Stegostoma tigrinum: one gene and its partners. The protein of the gene in region 1 interacts with the protein of each later gene in a biochemical or structural test. Links are inferred from orthologs where the notes say so. Each region holds a gene or a part of one and is shown on either strand. Other genes may lie near its edges. The genes, in order: DNA endonuclease RBBP8-like, atm and klhl15.

Region 1 (7,525 bases):
TGAAGTGTGAAAAAGCAGTGCATGGGACAGACAGATTTTCAAAAATTACCTCACAAAACAGTTCACAGAATAGTTTTATGCTGTAGCATAGATGTGGAAAGCAGCAAAATGTCTAACAGCAAGGAAGCAGTGTAAGTGGAGGTGTTGCTTCTGTTAACCATGAATTATTTGCTCATGGAGCAGACCGGGTTGACTGAGGTCCCTGTGCCACGAGTGCTGGATCTACCCTCTGTCAAGGGCCACGTGTCTGCTGATAATGCAATGGCATTCCCATGTTAAAAGATGTCCTACACAGGGCATCTATCTAGGACACACAGACAAACCTCCGCGATCGGTGAGACACGATGGGGACAGGACTGAGAAATCTTGAAGTTCCCAGCTTCAGACGGCACAGTCCGACATATGGGCCAGGAATAGAAGGGCATTTTGGCAGTTTTCTTCACAAGTGAGCAGCTCTGTTCGCATTTATTTTGCTCACCCTGCGTAGAGGGGGGGCTAGATAAAGTGCCTGAAACATAGTTTGCTTCATCATCAACCCGGCTGGAAAACGACATCCAGTGGGTTCATCTACCTGCAGCCTGAAGAACCAAAGTCAACTTCAATCTTGGAATCTGGAATGTATGAACGGCACTTCAACATTGATATTGCTGCCCTGCAGGAAATTCAAAAAGCAGGTGAAGGGCAGCTGACAGAAAAGGTTACAGCTTCTTCTGGAAAGGAAACCCAAGGATCAATGCAGGACACATGGAATTGGATTCACAATCAAGTACGACTTGTCAATCAACTCTAAGAGCTCACCGTTGGCATCAATCACCTCATGACTGTCTCCAACTTGCCAAGAACTAGCAAGCAACTGAGTGTCTCTACTCCAAACCTTGATGCCATAGAGGAATCTAAAGGCAGGTTCTACTCTACCCTGAACACCATACTCAGCAACATCTAAAAGGAATATTAAGTTACTTTGCTTGGAGACTTCAATACCAGAATTGTAAAAAGGACCCTGAGCTCTGGAAAGAGACCACTCAAAAAGGAAGAAGTCGAGGAGTGCCATTCCAGGGGGACTCTCCGACTCATTAAAAATGCAGAACACCAGCTGTTATTCATCAATGCACTGTTCCTCCAAAAAGACAATTTCGAAGCCTCTTGAAGGATACGCAATTAAAGTGCTGGCTTACGATCGACTATGGTCTTGGGACTGAATGATGACAACGGGACATCGTCATTACCAAGCTGATGATTGGTCCTTCAAGCAGCCATCTGCACCACCGGCTTATACATTCCTCCACATCCATCATAAGCCACCAGAAAACAGCTGAAGACAAAGAAACAGTTTATTAAAATATTTAACATTGTAAGCCTTCAACAGCCAAACAGACTAGCAAATTTCCAATAATGTCTTCAACAAAAATCACCAAAGAGCTCATTTCAATGGAATTGTGGAAATCTAGAAAGAGCTGAAGACAGCTATCACCTCATGTTGTGAAATAAACTATCGGCTGCAAGATCAGGAAACGTCAAGAATAGTTTGATGAGAGTAACCACATCATCCAAGATCTCATCATCAAGGGGTAAGCTCTCTATGCCTGGCAAAACATCACCAGCAAGGCAAAGAAGGGATCTCAAACAGCAAAAGACAGAATTACAAAGAACCACCAATGGAGGATTGAGAAAGCTAAGTAAATGCAACTCCTTGCTGACAAGCACAGCACCCAGGTTTCTTCAGTGCCACTACAACAATGTAATGACTGTACACCAAGGTGTCAAACTGCTACGAAGTACAGATGGAACACTTCTGAGACACAAAATACATAAGCCTCCGACAGACAGAATAGTTCAAAGAACATATAAACTTCGATACAATCAAGGAGGATGTGTTTGAGGAAATCCCACAAACTCCCCAAAGACGGTCCTGGACTCCCACCTAATGTGGAAGAAATTAAAGTGGTCATGAGACATATGAAGAATGGAAAAGCTGCAGTAGTAGATGGGATTCGAACAGAATTTTTTGACTTGGGAGGGGCAGAGCTTACCTGTCATCTCCATCAAAAATCTGGGACAAAGAAGAAACCCCTGCCAATCGTAGCGATGCTGCCATCACTACTGTGTTCAAGAACAGAGGCAAAGTGAGTCCATTGTGGAAACTACCAAAGATTGCTTGCTGTATAGAAGTAGCCTCATTAGAACACTGGTGGCAAAGCAGAAATCACAGCTGCATGATCTAATGCAGAGCACTGCCTCCCTGCAATGTTCATTCTGATGGAACAAAATTTTACTCCAAAACAAAACCACTAAGTAGCACACATTTTTGAGCATCATGCTTATAGATGCACGTTCCGCAATAAAACCAGTAATGCAATGCAGTTAGATTGCACTTGACTTTACAAATTGAATTCATCCTCCAAAAATAAACCCAGGCTTTCAATATTGCTCTAAACACTTCAGCTGAGCACTGGAGGAAAGTGCAAACGGCGACAATAAACGTGGATCTTATGAAATCAAGTACGAACGTCTTGCCTGAATCCTAGGCCCCGCTGCAGCAACTCATTGGGCCAGCCGTGGCACGATGGACTGAATGGCCGCCTCCCGCACCAGGACAGTTCTGAGGCGTCCGGTGAGGACCGGCAGCACTCACGGTAAACCTGAAGAATGTACCAGACCACCGATTAGACACCGATGTAAACACACCGTAAAGGAGCTTATTGGAAAAGCTATCTGCGTGTTCCCACCCCTCACTCTCTTCATTCCTGATTCACTCACTTATTGCCTCCGTTTTAACCAGCAACTTCTCCACCTTTTCCCTTCTCCAGGTTTTCTGGAGAATTCTAGGCCGCCCTCTCCTGTATCCGCCCCCGTATTCTCACACTCACGACAGTGCTCGTCACCTCAGTCTCGCCGCACAGGAGAGGAACTCGGCCGTCACTGAGCGAGCGACTCCGCAGCTCGAGCCAGGATCAACTCCCGATTCAAACACAAACTTCGAAATGACGCGGGAATAAGCCCAACGGCAGGCTGCGCTGCCGGAAATGGGTGGGGGGGAAAAAAATCCCCGTGAGTGACATCGATCTCAACCATTGCGAAGAAGCAGTGGGCGCGGTTCCACCCATTTAGGGCGCCGCCCGTCCGTACGGAAAACGCCGCACGTCGACGTGGCCCCGCCCCAATGGCAGGGAGCTGTCAATCAATAAGGACCAGCACGTGACTGAAGTCACCGCCCGTCGGTAGGAAAGGCAACGCCCCGCTATAAGGCCCCGCCAATTAGTGTGGGGTGATCAGCCCATCGAGAGGCCCGCCCACATGCCCGGCTTATTTGGAATTGACCCCGCCTATCTGCTGGGTCCCCGCCCCAATATGGGAGGGCCCGCCTATCAGAGCTTGACAAATGGTCAACCCTCCTTCCAACATCAGATTATCTAACGTAGTCAAACATGTTCTGGAAACGTTATGCTAGTCCAAGGCCGATCGAATGTTACATAACGTTGTATAAACAAAATGATATCGAAAATGACTGGAATTTTTAAACAAATTAAAAATAAGGTGGTACGGGAGACAAACTAAATGACTGGAACAGCATGAGAGGTGTAAGAATCGCACGCCAATGGTCTGACCAAAGTAATAAGTAAATCAAAACTGAACAAACTAATCAAGGTAGAGCGATCATAATAAGTTATTAAGGTGATGGTGTCAAAACAGCACAGTAAGGAAGGTTTTTACAGATGCTGAGCTGTGTGATGGGGTCGCATGTGACACAACATGAACCCAAGATCACAGTTGACGTTGTCTTCATGGGTACAGACCTTGGCTATCAGTTTCAGCTTGGCTTATTTTTAATGTTTTGAAATTATCTCTCCACCCCATTTAATCAGGTTTTGGGTTATCCTTTCACTTGCTATTCAGCAGTTGGCACTTCACTCCTGTCACCCAACACTCATGGTCTCCTGCAGGACCTCTTACTCAAAACTTCACGCATACCAGTTGTATGATCTTTTGATCTCTCTGCCCTTGATGCATCTGCCTATAAATTCTGTGTTTGCGTGCTCTTCTCTCCCACTTCTGATGAAGTGGCTGAGCTTTGAAAGTTTGTGATTTCAAACAAACCTGTTGTACTGTAACCTAGTGTTGTGTGACTCTTGATTTTCTCCAACCCAGTCTAACACGAGCACTTGCACAACTTGGAGAAATTTGCAGTTCTGTAAAATCAAAGCTGAATCAGCACCACCTCCTGGCGAAAACTAGTTATAACATCATGCATCAACTCACAACTTGACATGGTTTTCTCTTTCCTCGTAATTAGTGTATTTCTATGGAAATGATTAATAATCCTCAACAACAAATGACTGTAGCAAAAACCATATTTTACTAAATAGAAAATCTTGGCAGATAGATAACTACATTCCTATTCAAATTTCAGTTTGTTTAAGCAAATGAATTCAAAGAAAAAAGGAAATTACTTCAATTTCTATAATATCTTTCACAACATCAGAAGTCACATGACAGCAGGTATAGGCCAACAGGTTTATTTGGAATCCCACATGTTTTTGGAGCTCGGCCTCTTCGTCAGGTGCAGTCTGATGACCCGATGTAGTGTGACTTCTGACGTTGCCCACCCCTCTCCAACACCAGCACCTCCACATCATGGGTTCCATCTTTCGCAACATCATCCCAATTCCATTTTACAGCCAACTGAGCACTTTTGAAGCATAGAAATGTAATGAACGTTGCACACAATTTGAACACAGCAATTTCCCGAAGCAAAATGATAACCTTTCCCATTATTACATGTTGGTTTAAGAGGTAACCGCTAGCCAGTATATAAAATCTGCTGTTTTTTGAAATAACAATGTGGAATATTTTAAGCTCGCTCATAATGATAGACAAGGACTAATTTTAACACCTTATCTGTAACACAGATCTCTAAAAGTGCACCAACCCTTCATTTCTGTTATGAAAGCTTAGCCAAGGGCTCTGACTAACTCTCTGGTACAGCCTATGATTCCACAGCCGAGTATGATAAGATTTGAACCATGGGAGACACAAATGTAAATGCGAATATTTGCTGACAGGTCCCTAACTCAACAGCTGATGAAGTAAAAGAAAACAAAATTAGAATGTGTTCCTTGTGCTTTGAAGCAACCTCATATTAATCTGAGATGGAAAGTTGTAATTAGGTAGCAGTGTAGATCAATAAAATCAATTATCATTGTGTTACAGTAAACAGTCCTGCAGAGTAGACTCTGACATGAGATGATGGTTTGTTTGGCAGCTGTAGGACAGTTGTTCATTGTGATGGCGGCATATTTAAAAGTGAGGACTGCTATGTAACTCATACATAAAGCGGAGTAAATTATGCAGTTATGTTAATCTGCTATCCAAAGCCCTTATTGGACCAGGATATTGGACATTACATGTTAGAAAAAATATGTTGGACTACATCCTTTCTCTCAGGAAAATTGAAGTGACCTGATGGATGTGAGGCAATGAGTGATATTACTACGAGATAATTAATCCAGAAACACAGCTAATGTACTGAAGAACAGGTTCAGATCCTACCACGGCAGACAGCAGAATTTGAATGTTATAAACAAAAACCTGAAACTTTAAGAATCTTTTGATGTCTATGAACCCACTGCCAATTGTTGAAAAATAACCCGTCTGGCTCAGTAATCACATTCAGGGAAGGAATTCTGTCATTCTCACCTGGTCTGGCCTACTTGTGACTCCAGAACTGTGGAAATGTGGTTGACTCTCAACTGCCCTCTGAAATGGCCTAACAAGCCACTCGGTTGTAACAATTGTTATGAATTCTCAACCATGAAGTAAAAAGGGACGGGCCATCTGGCACTGGCCCAGGCACCGATAACAGCAAAACCAAGCCTTAGTGCCACTGCAAAGTTCCAATGACTAACAGCTGGGACAAGTACCAAAAGTGGGAGAGCTGTCTCACAAACTAGTCAAGCAACAGCCTGACATAGTCATATGTGGTAAATGTCCCAGGCAATATCATCACATATGTCCTGTTTCACCAGCAGGACAGACCCAACAGAGGTGGTGGCGCAGTGGTATACAGTTGGGATAGAGTTGACCTCGGAGCCCTCAACATTGACTCTGGATATCATGAAGTCTTAGGGCAGCAGGTAAAACATGGGCAAGGAAACTTGCAGCTAGTTACCACATACTGCCCTCCGTCACTAAGGATTCAGCAGCAACACTACTGATTGAGCTGGTCACATCCAAAATAATGTAACTGCTAGAATGAGTCTGCCACAGGTGGTGAGGGAAAAGATACATGACGTCATTCTTTCCGATCGATTGGCTGCAAATGCATCTGTCCATGACAGTATTGGTAAGACTGACCACCACATAGTCCTATGAGGTCCTGCTTACCCTCTATCATGTTGTGTGGCATTATCACTGTTATAAGTGGGACCAGTCTGGCAACTTAAGACTGGGCACCTTTGAGAATATGTGGGCCATCAACAGCAAAATAATTGTATTCCAGCATAATCTGCAATCTTATGGCTTGGCATATGCCCCACTCAATCATTAGCATTCAGCCAGGGTATCAACCCTGGCTCAATGGAGAGTGTAGGAAGCCATGACAAGAGCAACACCAGGCATACCTAAAAATGAGGTGTCAACCTGGTGAACCTACCAAACAGGATTATATGCAGGCCGGACTATATTAGCAGCAAATGAGGTAAGCCGTCCCACAACAGATGGACCAGATCTAAGCTCGGCAGTCCACCAATGATGATGGTGAATTAAAAACTGACTGGAGGAGGAGACTCCACAAATATTCCCATCCTTAATGATGGAAGACACCAGTTCATCAGTGCAAGAGATAAGGCTAAAACAATTGCAGCAATCTTCAGCCAGCAGTGCTGAGTGGATGATCCATCTCAGCCTCCTCTTGGGGTCCACATCAGCGCAGATACTAGTCTTCAGCCAATTCACTTCACTCCACATAATATCAAGAAACAGTTGGAGGCACTGGATACTGCAAAGGCTTCAGGCCTTGATAACGTTCCGGCTATAATACTTGTGCTCTAAAATTAACACTTCCCTACTTAGCTCTTCAAGTACAGCTACAACATTGGCACCGACCTGAAAATGTAGAAAAGTGTGCAGATGTGTATGGTACACAAAAAGCAGATCAAATTCAACCAGCCAATTACCATCCCATTAACCTACTTTTGATCATCAGTAAAGCAACGGAAAGTATCACTCATAGTACCATCAAGCAGCATCTGCTCAGTGACACACTGTTTGAGTTCCACCAGGGCCACTCAGTTCCTGCCCTCATTACAAGATTGGTTCAAACATGGACAAAAGAGCTGAATTCCAGAGGTGAACGGAGAGTGACAGCCCTTGACATCAAGGCTGCATTTGGTGGAGTGTGGTATCAAGGAGCTGTAGCAAAGCTTAAATCAATCGGCAAATTTTCCACTGTTTGCAGTCAGACCTGACGCTTGGGAAGACAGCTGTTGTTGTTGGAAGGTCAGGCATCTCAGCTACAGGGATCCTAAAT
Region 2 (7,727 bases), on another chromosome or scaffold:
ATATTGGTCCCTTTCTGATTCAGGTGGAATCTGACTCTCTTATTGTGGTTATTTCAATCCCTGAAGAGATCCCAAATGGTCCAAAAATGTGAATCTTTGTTTCCTGCACTAGTTCCTCAGCCACACATTAATCTATCCTATCCTCCTATTCCTACTTTCATTAGTACGTGGCACCAGTAGTAGCCCAGATATTACTATTCTGAAGGACCTACTTTTTAAAACTTCTACTAGTTTCCTCTGCAGTTCTATTCTATATTATTTCTGCAGAATCTCATCCTCTTCCCTACCAATGTTGTTGCTACTAAAATGCACAATGACTCCTGCTTATCACTCTCCCCTTTTAGAATATTCTGCACTGTCTCTGAGACATCTTGACCCTGACACCAGGAAGGTAACATTCAATCCTGACGTCTTGCTGAAAGACTGTCTGAGCCCCAGACTAAAGTACCCGTTACTTGAAGCTTGACATACCCCTCTATACACCACAGCCAGTCACTGTACCAGAAACCTAGCTGTCAGTACTATACTCCCCTAAGAAGACACCTCCCCACTACCATATCCAAAATGGCATACCTGTTTGAGCTGGGAGTAGCCATAGGAGACTCCTGCTATCTCTCCTACCATTCCTAGTAGTCAACCATCTTCCTAACTGTATCTGCAGTGTGTCCAACTTCCTGAAACTGCCATCCATGTACCTGTGAACTCCTCATTGACTCTAAGTCCTTCGTCTTTCTTAGTTTGGCAGCAAGTGTTTTATACAATGGCATCTGGCAATCTTGGTTGGTAAATTTGCAATAGACATACATGATCTGAGAGATAAGTGCACTTCATTAGAAATTTGCTAATGTCTTGGTCATTGTTGTTCAGCCAGTCTTCTTCCTTCTGTTTAACAAATGGAACTCAGAAATTGTGCCTCAAGTAAAATCCATTAATTCTTTCTGAGAATCTTCAGTGATATACTTCAGAATATCAGTAATCTCTACTGCTAGTTTTGTGTTTCTATTCTTGTCTTTTGGCCATATCCTCCTCGCTACAGCGTTCATTGGCCTGAACAAGACTGTTGACAAAATAAAACTGGGAAGATTTATGGAAGGTTCAATACAAATATGGCTGTAAAAAGATGACCAATGTCATTCACTGGTTTTACAATGGCATGATCCAAATGAGTATGGCATCTAATGCCTTTCTTGTCATCAAAATCACCAAGCAAGGTATTGACTCCAACTCTCTGTATATACTGCTCAGCCACGCTGCAGGACACACTCAAAGATTCTGACACAGAAGTACACATTCAATTCAGGGCAGACTGTAATGCCATCAACTTGCAAAGACTCCAGGTTTACACAAAGGTTGCTAAACTCTACAAAACAAAACCTTTTAGTGCTTAGGTACATGTGACAACAATAAATAGCTGCCAGGCATACACTTGTTAGCAGATGACTATGCTCTCAGAAGACATTCAGTTGCTTGTTAATCACTTGCACTAGCTTCAGAACACTTTGGCTTGATGCCAAGTCTGAAGAAATCATTTTGCCTCAAGTCACCACTAGCCACAAACTCCAAATTACTATTGCATCACTACCAACATTGTCCTCTGTTCAGTACAAATCTTTTACTTTTCTGGGAGTATCCATTCCAATAACACTATGCTTGAAGACAAAATCAATCAATGCTTTGTCAAAGCAAGTTTAGTGCCTGTAGAACTCAGCATGGGGTGGGGGACATGGCAAAAGACACCTCTTCTCCCCTTTCCTACCATTATTCTCTTGTACGAAGAGTCATCTTGATCTCAAAACATTAATGTCATTTCTCTTTTCACAGATGTTGTCAAAGTTGCTGAGTTTTTCTGGTTGTTTTCATTTCAGACTTCCAGCATCCATGGTATACGACTTTTCACCTGTGGCCTGGGATCCAGCACTGATCCGACCCTGAGTGTTTGTCAGGCGGACAGGAGCCTCTGCCTCCCAGTGATTCTGCGGGTCAAAAGGGTTAGCAGCCTCGGGATCCTTGACCCCATGGAATGCTGTTCTTTTCCAGTTAAGGTTTTAAGTGGCACTGAGTATGGTGAGCCTCCCGTAAAACAGGCAACACGTGGTTCTCACCAGCTCAGAACCCCTTCCTTCCACCATCTCCATTAAATGTTGCCTGAGTCAGTCTCTGGCTTGTGAATAAAAACCGAAAGAGCTGCAGATGCTGTAAATTAGGAACACAAACAAAGTTGCTGGAAAAGCCCAGCAGGTCTGGCAGCATCTTTGAAGGAAAAAGAAATCAGAGTTAACGTTTCCGGTCCGGTGGACCCTTCCTGAGAACTTCACAGTCGCTGCCAGATCTGCTGGGCTTTTCCAGCAACTTTGTTTTTGTTCTGGCTTGTGAATGACTGGTCGCTTGGGGAGGGCACCGAATGCCTCGGGAGTTTTCGTCAGGAATGTGCAGAAGTGAAGTCAGACGGTGGTCACAAACCTCCATCTGTCTCACCGAGCAAAGGCCGGCTCACCACTGACCCTTTTCTGATGAAGGGTCTAGGCCGGAAACGTCAGCTTTTGTGTTCCTAAGATTGCTGCTTGGCCTGCTGTGTTCGTCCAGCCTCACACTTTGTTACCTTGCCCAGTATGGCAGAGCCTGCAGATGGGACCTATCAGTCATACAGGACCCACGCAATGATCCAGACAGGCTGGCGGACAATGTTTCCGTATAATCAGCGTCTATGCTGACCTTCCGCTTGGCGGGAAACACTCATCACATCCCAGCGAATCAAACTGCGTGAGTCGGCGATAATGGATAAGAGGATACGCCAGGATTGGTTTATTTAGAAAATCACCTCTAAGCCGCCAAACATCGTGCCATGTCCGCAGCACGGTCAAGCAACATCCTTGTACCAGAACTCACAGTAATAAAAATCCGCACACCACTCTGGGTCCGAATCAAACTTCATTTAAACTCGAGCCCAGGCCATGAGTTCGTTGCAGAGAAGTCGCCGCTGAAACGTTGAACCGATCTACAAATTGACCTCCACCCCGCCTCCTCCATCAATCCATACGCGTGCGCGGAAGCCATGCGGCTGTCGGGGCTTGTAGTCCACTCGTTTCATTAAACTACAACTCCCACATTGCAATCTACCTGTCGCCTCACTTCCGCCGGACGCTGGTGCGGGATAAGGGCTGCGTTGTTTTTACGCGCCATTTTCAGCTGGAGGACCGGCATCTAATGTGGTTGAGCGGCGAACGGCGAGGGAAGGTCGGCCGCTCCTCACGGCTCCCTCCTCATTTCCAGGGGCTGATTCGGTGAACATGCTGCTGCCGTCAGACGTAGCGCGGCTTGTCTTGGGTAGGTGGGTTGGACACTCGGTCCAGTGGGCCATCTGTGTCCCTGGGGCGGTGCTGGGCCGCTGATTGGGAAGGCGTTAGAACCGGCGGCGGGCAGTACTGTATTTTGCAGCTTCAAGTGGGTGGGATATCACTCGCTCCATCTAGAGATACCTATTGTCGAAGGCCGTTTAATTAGCAACCTTTAGTGGTAACTTACTCAAAGTTTCTGTTGTACAGTTGAATCGCAGCCAGTACTACACTGGGTCTGCCACCGTGGGTTAATTATATTTGCGAGTGTCTGGTTCTCCGACTGGATATTTATTCACTTTTTCCTTTTGCCTCAACTCAGTGTCATCTGTGCTTGACAGCTTCAGCTATCTCTGACATTGTGTTGACATTGCTTCATGTGACTTTAGAACGTGAATGTGGTTGTTCTTAATCTGCCTCAGCAGACATTTTACATCAATTGCAAAGAATGGACAGCAACATCGTGACTGCTATTTATTTTTAATGCGGATATTGTGTGTGAATAACACCCTAAGGCTTGGAATAAATTATTTTGTTTTTGTATGCTAATTTTCTACCTAGTAGAAAGATAGAATACTTACAATGAATCCTGCACAAAAAATTTCAAACCATCATCCTTCCCATTCCATTAATGAATCACACTGGCTGCTTACAAGTTAGTTTTATCCTAGGATGCTGTGGAGCTGCTGGAATCAGTTATCAAGTTATTGATTCTACAATTTGGCTGTGTTCACTTGATGTCTGTTTTTCCTTGCTCTGAAGCTGTCTTCTTTCATGAAAAAAATTCAGCTTCCATTCAATGTGAAATATTTAAACCCAAAATGGTGATTATTAATTGGCCTTGAAAATTAATTGGTAATCATTCCATTAGGCAGATGTCAGACACTCTTCATGATTGATGTGGTAAACAGCGTAGTTGCTAAAACATATAAGGTAGTACCTCATCCCCGATCATAGTCTGAAAGTATAACTAATGCAAATAGCTGTATGTTTATAGTTGACTCATTACAAAGGAAAAATGCACACTTGTTATTGTCCTTTAAATACAGTATACAAAAGAAACAATTCATGTTAATTTCTTCTGTAAATGCAGGATTTTGAGGATTTATATTGTGAAGTGCTTGGAATGTAGTTACTACTATAACCCAAGCTATGTATCAAACAATGTGCGTGCTCAAGTCCTGGAAATGATGAACAGTGTTTTTAATGATATTAGCTGAAATATAAATATTAGTATCTTTTATGTTCAAGTAAGAGGGTAGGTGGAACTTCCATTTAACATCTCATTGGAAATTTGGCAACTTGGAAAAAGATAGTACTCCTATAGCTCTAGAAAGAAGTACCAGCCTAGATTGTACACTTATGTCTCTGGAATAGGACTTGAACCAGAATTTTCTGACTTGTAGGTGTACGATTGTTCTACCACTGAGTTAATGCTTTTATAGTTGCTGATCTAGACTCATGCACCAAGATAGACATGTTAAATTTCTGTGTATGTTATTGAAACTAAATAAAGGCTTCGAATTGTTTATTGAAGAACGAATAAAATGGGTCAGAATTGTGTAGCCTACTCTCAACCATTTATGTTTTTAATGATCAAAACTAGAGCACAGCAGAAGAAATTGATGTATATTTTTATATTTTAATATACAGTAGATTGTTCATTCTTAGGATAACTGAAACAAGTTGCCCTTCACCAGTGTGCTATGAGTTAAGTAGAACAATAAGTATCATTACATGGCTAAATGTTTTTCTCAGGTCACACAGATGGAATACAAAAATGTTGTGCTTATTTAAATGCTTATAGGAAAGAAAGTGAAGGAGTAGCCTTTTATTTGAGTGATATGTGGATAATTTACATAAAGGGCTTACGAAATGTACTTAAAATGAATGATAATGGCACATTGTCCAGTGAATTAATGCAGCCCTGTAAAATGATGATTTCTGTTGTAATGCATAGCAGTATAGCTCACAATCAAGATTTGTTTAATGTAGAATTTTAATCCTCAACATCCAGAAGTGAGTTTCTCAAATCTCTAGCATCACGCAAATATGTTATGTAACTATCAGTTATTAAGTCTTGCCTAGGCTTGGGATATGGCGAGCAAGGCAGAGATGGGATAGTTGTTGGAGGAGTCGTGGGGTCATGATGGAATTGCAGCAGTTAGTAACAGCTTGCTGTCAAGCAGCCAGACGTTTCCTCCTTCAGAAAGCCTAGCATCATTGCAAATCATTATTTACTTTAATGGAAGTATTTGTCCCCATATCTCAAATTTGACATCCCATGTAACTCATCAGTTGCATACATAACGTGATACATGATGACACAATCATACCAACTGCTGTACTCCGTCTGAATGTTGTCCACCTGATCTACCAAACAAGTGTTCCAGTGTGTGATACATAAGGAATGATACTTTTTTCCCTTGTTTGAAAAACAGATATTTGTCTGCTAATGCTTGCCGCACTAAACAAGCACATTTGCTGAAGCTTATCACAATTTGCAAAAGGGGAATTTCCCTACAAAGCAAAATCATGGCTGAAAAACCTGTGATTTTTGGTTAAGATTCTGAACTTCCTTTGCATCTGTTTATGGTAAAAGCCTATGTTTAATTCTTTGATAACATGGTGTAGAGCTGGATGAACACAGCAGGCCAAGCAGCATCAAAGTCTTCTTACTCCTCTGCTGCCTGGCCTGCTATGTTCATCCAGCTCTACACTTTGTCATCTCAGATTCTTCAGCATCTGCAGTTCCTCCTATCTCTGCTTAATTCTTCAACTGCTAAAATGTTTGCAGCAGCTTATATTTTAAAATGTCACTTCCTGCATTGGCCAATGACAAGCTGAACTTTATTATGTTTTTCTTACAGGATACCTGCAGCAAGAAAAGCTTTCTAATACTTGCAGAACCTTTATATTGGAAAGTGGAGATCTAAAGGAGTATGCCGAACACAGTACCGAGGATGGGGTGGTGCCTGCTTGTTTGCTGGTATGGATTGCATGCATAATTTCTCTGCGTTATAAGTATTGGTGGGATTGAAAGGCCCATTAAGGACCTCCAAGCAGAGCTCCCATGTGATAAATCAGAAGACTAGATTTTACAATACCACATTTTTTTAAAAAAGGGTTGAAGCAGGCCTCAACACAATCCTCAGATGGATAAAGATTCAGTTTTTGTTGCTTGGGCCCATGTGTTCAAGCAGGATGTGTCTGTGATGAATGTGTAAAGCTAACCTGTGCCTTTTATCTCGGTGGGAAAATTCTTGATGTGTGCAGACAGCCTAAGTTGAAAATTGCAGCTTTTCAAGGGTGCATTTTGCTACATTGTCACCATTTAAAGGTTCACTCTGTGAAGAATTAGTATCCTTATAAGTCATTAATTTTTCCCAGTTTGAACCTGTGCCCTCTTTATTTTTGAATTAATATTCTAAACTCTTCCACTTTCTTACGATCTCCTGCTTCTAAAGATCCACTTTCACACATTCCTTTTTCAAGTTTAAAAACCCAAGATTCCCATGTTTCATCTTTCAAGATCTCATTCTGTACTCCATCTCATGCTGTTTCAGTTTCTTCTTTCATTATCAATGATCAGGGCCGGATATAGAACTTGAGACACTATAAGGCAGAGTACAGTTTGGCCATTCCTCCTCCTCTTGATCTATGTTCTCCTTTTTTGCCAAAAATGAGCGATTGTCTATCTGCTTTGTTGATTGCTGTTCTTTGGTTGATCTGTTAAGACAACTAGGTCGTTTTCAGTTTATTGGTATTTCACCACTGTTTGGAGTATGTGTTGCACTTGTCCTTCAATGAGCTATACTTGACTAAAAAAGGATTGAAATATCATACAGGCGTGTTATTGCCCTACTTATTTTATTTGAGATTTTTTTTTGATTCTGTCATCCTTCTCGTATGTTCACCTTTATCGCAAAAAGATTTGATTACAAAAGCTAAGAAGTCATACTTCAAATGCATTGAATTCTGATGAGGCCGAATCTACAACATTGTATGCCATATCTTACCTAACCAAAGATCTACTAGCTGTAGAAGGAGTGCAGCAGATGATCACCTGTCTTAAGTCTTAGGGTTGAGAGGTGACTTAATTGAAACATATAAAATAATCAGAGGGTTAGATAGGCTCTCCCTATCCACCCTTTTTCCTAGGATGGTGACGGCGAGCACGAGGGGGCATAGCTTTAAATTGAGGGGTGAGAGATATAGGACAGATGTCAGAGGTAGTTTCTTTACTCAGTAGTAAGGGAATGGAACGCTTTGCCTGCAATGGTATGTGGATTCGCCAACTTTAGGTACATTTAAGTCGTCATTGGATAAGCATATGGACGTACATGGAATAGTGTAGGTTAGATGGGCTTCAGATCGGTATGACAGGTCGGCACA
Region 3 (7,306 bases), on another chromosome or scaffold:
CACTTCCCAGGACCTTACGATTAAGTGTATAAGTCCTGGCCTGATTTGTCTTTCCAAAATTCAGCACCTCACATTTATCTAAATTAAACTCCATCTGCTACTCCTCGGTCAATTGGCCCATCTGATTTAGATCCTGCTGTATCCTGAAGTGACCAAGGAGACTTCAGAAAATTAAAGTCAATTCACATCAGGAAAACATCCCACCAGTTGCTGTCATGGTGAGTTGATTGTCCGCTGATGCTGGTTGTTTGCGTAACATTCAAATGCATTTACGACTCCTGAGATACTGAAACAGTTTATGCCTGCATGCAACAAAAATGTGGAAAACATTCAGACCTGGACTAGGTGTTATCAGCGACCCAAAACTTAACTAACCAATTACATAAGTATAATAGCAATTGGACCACATATGAAGCTAAGAGTTCATATCACATCAATGCCTGGGTAATATCAAGAATGCGACAGAATACACAGCATATGCCTGAATGAGTGCTACTCCAACAACATAAGAAGCTCTCTGCTTGATTGGCAATCCACTGCTGCCACCCTAAACATTCATCTCCTCTATCCTTGGCACACTGTGGTGGCAGTAGCTACTAGCTATAGTCCCTTGCCAATCACCCACCATTTACAAGAATAGGGACAACAGGTACTTAGAAACATCAGCATCTGCCAGCTTCATTTCAGGTCAGGGACCATCCTGACTTAGAACCATATTCTTGTTTTGTTACAGTCATTAGGTCAAAAACTCAGGGTGTTGCCATGACCCGAATTCTAAGTATACCATATCGGCTTCAGCAATTCAAGATGACAGCTCACCACTAAGCTCTCAAGGAATGGACAACAAATGCCTGCAACCCTTGCATGCCACAAAAGAATAAAAATGCTGCTTTGCATTTTATGCATGTTCAATAGAACTAGCTGCCCAGGGCAAAAAGCATGGAAAATTGGACTTTAAAGACACCAAGTGTGACACACAACAAAATTTACAGGATATTGCAATCTTAAGACTTGCAGTTCTAAATACTTTTCTAAACAATGGGTTCCTCGTCATCTAAAAGGGAAAACAAGCTATGATATACAAAATTTGCAAATATGGTTATTACCATGCCAAGTTGCACCTTTGATCAAAAAAATTAGAAATTACAACTCTGTATCTAATCTAAACCTTTGCTGCATTTCTAAAGAAAAAACAAAATTTTTGAATATATTAAATACATTACTTTTTCTTTGAAAGTCTTGTTATCCCAGTTAATATACTAGCAATTTTAACATAACTTCAACACAGAATCAGCGTTTTTACAGCAAGGAAAGAGGCCCACTATGTCCCCACCAGTCAACAAGCATCCATCTAGTCGAACCCACTTTCCAGCATTTTGGCACATAGCCTTGTATGCTATTGCATTTTGAGTGTTCAACAAAATTATTCTTTTATGTTTCAAAGGCTTCCACCTCTATCACTTCTCAGACAGTGAGTTCCAAATATCTCCAACACTCTGGTTGAATTATTTTTCCTACAAATACTCTCAAAAACACTTGATCTTACCTTAAAACAGTGCGCCCTGGTTATTGACCCCTTGAAGTGGTCAAGTTTCTCCCTATCTACCCTGTCTATGCCCCTCAGAACTTTGTGCACTGCAATCACATTTCCTCCTGAGTCTTATTTCCCTTTGCTCTAAGGGAAATAAAACCCTAGCTCATCTGGTATGCCTTAATTGTTGAACTGTTCCAACCCAGGCAACATCCTGGTGAAGCCCTTCTGCACCCTGTTGTGCAATTGCATCCTCCCCATAATGTGATGACTGGAACTGCAAGTAGTCTTCCAACTGTGGCCAAATTAATACTCTTGTTGTAACCTCTTTACTCTTACAGTCAATGCCTTCACTAACAAAGGCAAGTATTGTCAATGCCTTCTTCATCACTTTATGTACCTGTCCAGTTGCCAAGGATCTATGGGGATGCACATCACGATCTCGCTGATCTTTGTAGTTCCTACGGTTCTATTCCTTACTTTGTTAGTCCTGCCAAAATATATCACCTCACTTTCAGGATTAAATTCATTTGGCTGCTGTTTACCCCATCTAACCAGCTCATCTATATCATCCTGCAGTTTAAGGCTTTCCTCCTTCCCATTTGACACATAATTTTCATGTCATCTGCAAAGTTACTGATCTTACGTTCAACATTCATATCAAGATCATAAATGCACACAACAAACAGCAGGAAACCCAGTTCCAAACCCCACGATTCAACACAGGACACATGCTTCCTTCAATCATCAACCTCTGATTTCTACCACTAAGCTAATTTTGGATCCATTTTGCCAAATTGACCTGGATCCCAATAGGCTCTTTGCTTCTTAACCAGTGTGTCAAGTGAGATCTTGTCAAAAGCCTTAGTGAATCCACGCAGATTATAACAACTGCATTATCCTCACCGACACATCTCGTCATGTGCTCAAAACGTTCAAAAGAGAGTGACTATTTTTGATTAATCCTTGCATCTCCATTTGGAGATTAATTCTACCCCTCAAATGATGCCAATGATTTCCCTACCACGTATGTTAGACTCACTGGCCAGTAGTTTCCTGATTTACCCCGACCACCCTTCTTGAGTTGCGGTCCCATAATTAATGTCAGAGCCCAATGGAATCTCCTCCTTCGCCTGCCACTACAACTTTGGATCTACGTACAAAAACTTTATAAGTAAAAAGACTTGGAAGACCAATCGTAGTAACTTTCACTTGAAGATACGCGAAGCAAACTGAAGTATTTTTTTCTATGAATAAAGTCGAGTTTCTAACGCTAGGATTGTGTTGCATCCTCGGGCTCACGCTCCAGGCGACAGGTGCCTACAGGATAGGCGAAAAGAAGAAGGCAGTCTGGGAAGCTTAAAGTTGCGGCCCGTTGACCTGCCCTGAAGAGCATCAATTCCCAGTCGGTGCCTCACACTCACCAACATCAGTAGCAGCCACTCCGCATTCACAGTCCTTTTGAAAACAGCTCAGCAGGGGGACCCCGGCGCTCTTTCCTCCCTCAGCACTTGGCCGCCAACGGGGTTAGCGCCGTGTTTTCCACGTCTCCTCCCCCCCCCCAACCCACCCCCGAAGCTCGGCGTCAACTCCGACCGACCACCGCCATCTTCTCCTCCACCGGCCAGGGCCACCAACGTCACTTCCGCCAGACCCTTCAAAACTTCGGGGAACAGCTTCCGCGTAAGGGTCGTTCCCCCCTCCCCCCGGGATCTGGGGGCGGGGCTTGGAGTGTACGCCGTGCGCTGTGGGTTTTTGAGTCGGCGGAAGGTGGTGAGAGCGGGAGCTGATGTCGAAAGGGGCTGGCCCTGGTGCTGAGTGACTGGTTAAAGGCCGCCTTATGGGAGTTCAGGGTAATGCGGTGTATCGCGGGTCAAATTCTGACCTGAGCCCGGAAACTAATTCCCCGGGACTGGGGCGGCATGCCGCAGTGTCTGGTTGATCGAGTGGGCCTGCTGGTTCCATCTTTCCTTCCCCCCAAACCTGCCCTGGCCAACAACACCGGCCCTAGGGAAAGCCTCCAGTGTTCAGGGGTGTGTGAGTTACAGGGGGATGGACCTGGGTGGGATGTTTCAAGGGGCGGTGTGGACTTGTTGGGCCGAAGGGCCTATTTCCGCACTGTAGGGAATCTAATCTGATCTAATCAAACACCGAGCCTTCGGACACCGACACTTGCTGTCGAACTAGTATTTACTGTGCCTGTAAGGTGGTGGAACTTTCCTGGTGTGATTGACAGGGACGTTTTGCAAAATTCTGTCAAAAGGCCAAAGAAAGTATTGGACAAGAGTGGAGAGTTTCGAAGTAGAAGGGTTTGCAGAGGGATTTCCTTTGTTGGGTCCCACACAAGTGAAGACGTTACTCACACCGGCAGGGCCGTGAAAGTCTGCCTTGTTCAAAAAGACCAGAGTTGATTGAGTGCAAATATCCCAGAGAGTTGTGTTGGGCTGGGGGACACTTCATAGACAATGGAGGAAGATCACACAAGGGTTTGAAAAATAAGAAAGAAAAACTAAAATTAGGATCAAAACACGAATTGCTGCAAAAGCTCAGCAGATCTGGCAGCATCAGGGAGAAAAACCATTGAGTCAACGTTTCAGGTTGACTGACCCTTCTGACCTTTTTTCAGCAATTTCTGTCTTGAATCAAATTGAATCAGTTATTGTCACGTACGTTCAATGTCAAAGTACATGATTAGATTAGATTCCCTACAGTGTGGAAGCAGGCCCTTTGGCCCAACAAGCCCACACCGCCCCTTGATGCATCCCCCTATAACCCACACACCCCTGAACACTATGGGCAATTTAGCCTGGCCGATCCACCTAACTTACACATCTTTGGACTGTGAGAGGAAACTGGAGCACTCGGAGGAAACCCACGCAGACACGGGGAGAATGTGCAAACTCCACACAGACAGTTGCCCGAGGCTGGAATTGAACCCGGGTCCCTGGCGCTGTGAGGCTGCAATGCTAACCGCTGAGCCTTCGCCGTACGTACATGGCGCCGTTCACATTAACTTAGAATAAGCGAGGAAAAAAATAACCAAAGAGATCCCAACTTTCCACTGCCGCAGTCCCGCTCCGGGCTTTCCAGCCCCTGCCGTACCTCCGCCAGAGCCCCTGTCTGGGCTTTGCAGTTCTTTGGGATGTTATTTAAAATTAGGATTTTGCTTAACCTAGATCCACGGTATCAGCAATCACAGGGATGATAGTGGGCAGGACCTGGTGCTGGGGCAGTGACGTTTGGTCTAGTTTTATACCCTATAGTCTTATTTTCAGTATGTTAGGCCCTTCCGGTAGCAGGTGCCGATATGTTCAGTATTTTAATTTTGAAATATCTCTAAACCCCACAATTGTTGACAAAAACAGAAACTACCGGTGAAACTCAGCAGGCCTGGCAGATTCTGCCACTGAAATTCTGATGAAGATTCACCAGACTTGAAACATTTGCTCTGCTTTCCTCCCATGGATTTTGCCAGACCTACTGAGTTTTGCCAGCAATTTCTGATTTGTTTTAGATCTCCAGCATCTGCAGTTCTGTTTTATTTTACCCACAATTGTTTATATGCATTTAAGTGTATGATATCTTGCCACAGCTTGTGAGCTTGGTGTATGTGATTTGCAATATAACAGATAAACTCACAGCCTACTTTCCCATTTGGGTGTTGGAGCTACAGGAGTCCAGAGACTGCCAAACAGCCGTTTAAAGGGATTTACATTTGACTTCTCTGGGAGCTGCTTTTGCTACTGTATAATTATTGGAAGTATTACATAGGAAGAGCTGTCACAAATTGTTCAAGTTAAAAGTGACTGTAACCCCTCGACCAAAACTGTTCTACCTGTTATTCAGAGACAACTTTTGCTAACGCAAACTCAGAAGAAGCAGTGTCTTTGAGGTGGTTATATTCTTTGAAGAAAGAAATGGGCATGGCAAGAATATCCCTTTCAGAGCTTCAGTTTCTACGCCTCCAAATTCTTCTAGGTTAGAATCATAGAGTTCAGAAGGAGGCCATTTGGCCCATCAAGTCTGTACCAATCTCCTGAAGAGCATCCCACTCCATAACCCCATGTTTACCCTGGTTAATCCACTTAGTTGTGCATCCCTGAATACCTTGGGACAATTTAACACATCCAATCCACCTACTCGGTTTCCTCCTACTGTCCGAAATACAATGCAGACATGGGGAAAACATGCACACTTAACACACAGTCACCCAAGGCTGGAATCAAACCCAGGTCCCTGGTGCTCTGAGGCAGCAGTGCTAACCACTATGCCACCTTGCTGCCCTGTGCATGTTGGAGCCGGCTGCATTTCCAACACCTCACAATTCTTCATACGTTTCTCGGTCTGGGACATAACCAACGGCACTTACACAGGAGAAGATGCCTCATCATATTCTGCTGAAGCAGAGAGTAGCAAGGGAAGTGTACCTCTCTGATGAAGGGTCTAGGCCCGAAACGTCAGCTTTTGTGCTCCTGAGATGCTGCTTGGCCTGCTGTGTTCATCCAGCCTCACATTTTATTATCAAGGGAAGTGTACTTGTGACTTTGCAAGGGTAGAAGGAGTTCTAATAGTGCAAGGAGTCAGAGGCTGCACCTATTTTTTGTTGGTGCCCCAATAACCAGAGAGTTGTTCTGAAAGCAGAATGAGTTACACTCTCTTTATGTGTAGTTGGAATGTGACAATGAAAATTACAGCATGTTGATTAATTGTTCTGTCTCCTAGCAGCAGCCACGGTGCTTTTATCTTGCTTTTATCAGCTGTTCTGACCATGGGGATGGTCCTGGGTGGGATGCTTCGAGGGGCGGTGTGGACTTGTTGGGCCGAAAGGCCTGTTTCCACACTGTAGGGAATCTATTCTAATCTAATCTAAGGTGAACCTGAGGATGACTGCTTGGTGGCAAGGGCTAACCTTTCTACGCTTGGTTCTGTCTGGCCACAGGGTACAATGAGAACCATGCGGCAGCTGCGGTCCATGGGTTCCTTTCTTTTAAAGTTGTACAAATGTGACATATTTGGGAGGGGGTATGGAATACAGTTACAAGACATTTTATTGAACTTTTATCGACAACTAATAAAGGTACTTACAATTATAGCACAAAACTGTTTAATCATGGTATCGAATTGAATTGAATTGTCACGTATTCGATGGAAAAATGCAGTGAAAAGTGTGTACCTACACCGTACATACATGGCGCCATTCACCTGAACTCAGAACAAGACAAGAATAAAAAAGATAACTTAAGGGAGTCCCAACTTTCCCTTGCACTGCCGCAGACCCACTTAGGCCTTTCCAGCCCTCTCCAGGCCTCCGCCAGCAGCCCAAACTGGGCTGCCTCATTGGCCCGCTCTCACCAGCCCAGTCTTGGGCTGCCGCTATCGCTCTGGCCCATGCTCGATTCTCTGTCGCCGCAGGACATAACTAACACATTCATTTCCCGCCACGTGGTTCTCAGTCGTGACCCAGCTCCTTCCCAACTCCTTAGGTAGGCAGTTAAAACGGGTGGCGGGGGAATAGAATTACTACCAGAGGGAGAGAGAAGGGAGGAAAAAAAAGGATGGACAAAGAAACAGAACTGGCGAGCAGAGTGAAGCTCTGAATGGAGCGACTGACCCTGCTGCCATCGTTGAATTAATGGTTTGGAACTTTCGGAGAAATTCTGCTATGAAGCAACTTATGTAGCTGAGTTCTGAGGAAGGGTCACCGGACCTGAAACATTAACTCGGTTTTCTCTTTCACAGATGCTGCCAGACCTGCTGTGTTTTTCCAGCAACTTT

The links.
Region 2: of the proteins of DNA endonuclease RBBP8-like (region 1) and atm, one has a biochemical effect on the other in vitro, tested with the Homo sapiens proteins (4 studies listed by BioGRID, with this or other methods). The link is inferred for Stegostoma tigrinum from reciprocal best matches to the Homo sapiens genes RBBP8 and ATM.
Region 3: the proteins of DNA endonuclease RBBP8-like (region 1) and klhl15 form a complex in vitro, tested with the Homo sapiens proteins (2 studies listed by BioGRID, with this or other methods). The link is inferred for Stegostoma tigrinum from reciprocal best matches to the Homo sapiens genes RBBP8 and KLHL15.

The regions. Positions count from the first base shown.
Region 1 is NC_081358.1:19,880,540-19,888,064, forward strand, and holds the start of DNA endonuclease RBBP8-like, read right to left. Parts: upstream 3,031-7,525; 5' UTR 2,883-3,030; exon of another isoform or gene 2,758-2,882; intron 2,640-2,757; exon of another isoform or gene 2,508-2,639; intron 1,194-2,507; exon of another isoform or gene 1,176-1,193; intron 1-1,175. UniProt on the Homo sapiens protein: Endonuclease that cooperates with the MRE11-RAD50-NBN (MRN) complex in DNA-end resection, the first step of double-strand break (DSB) repair through the homologous recombination (HR) pathway.
Region 2 is NC_081359.1:70,469,689-70,477,415, reverse strand, and holds the start of atm (serine-protein kinase ATM), read right to left. Parts: upstream 3,020-7,727; 5' UTR 2,819-3,019; intron 2,713-2,818; exon of another isoform or gene 2,600-2,712; intron 1-2,599. Other genes in the region: protein NPAT, read left to right, coding at 3,288-3,324, 6,203-6,321.
Region 3 is NC_081365.1:61,183,557-61,190,862, forward strand, and holds the start of klhl15 (kelch-like protein 15), read right to left. Parts: upstream 3,072-7,306; 5' UTR 2,962-3,071; coding exon 2,956-2,961; intron 1-2,955. UniProt on the Homo sapiens protein: Substrate-specific adapter for CUL3 E3 ubiquitin-protein ligase complex.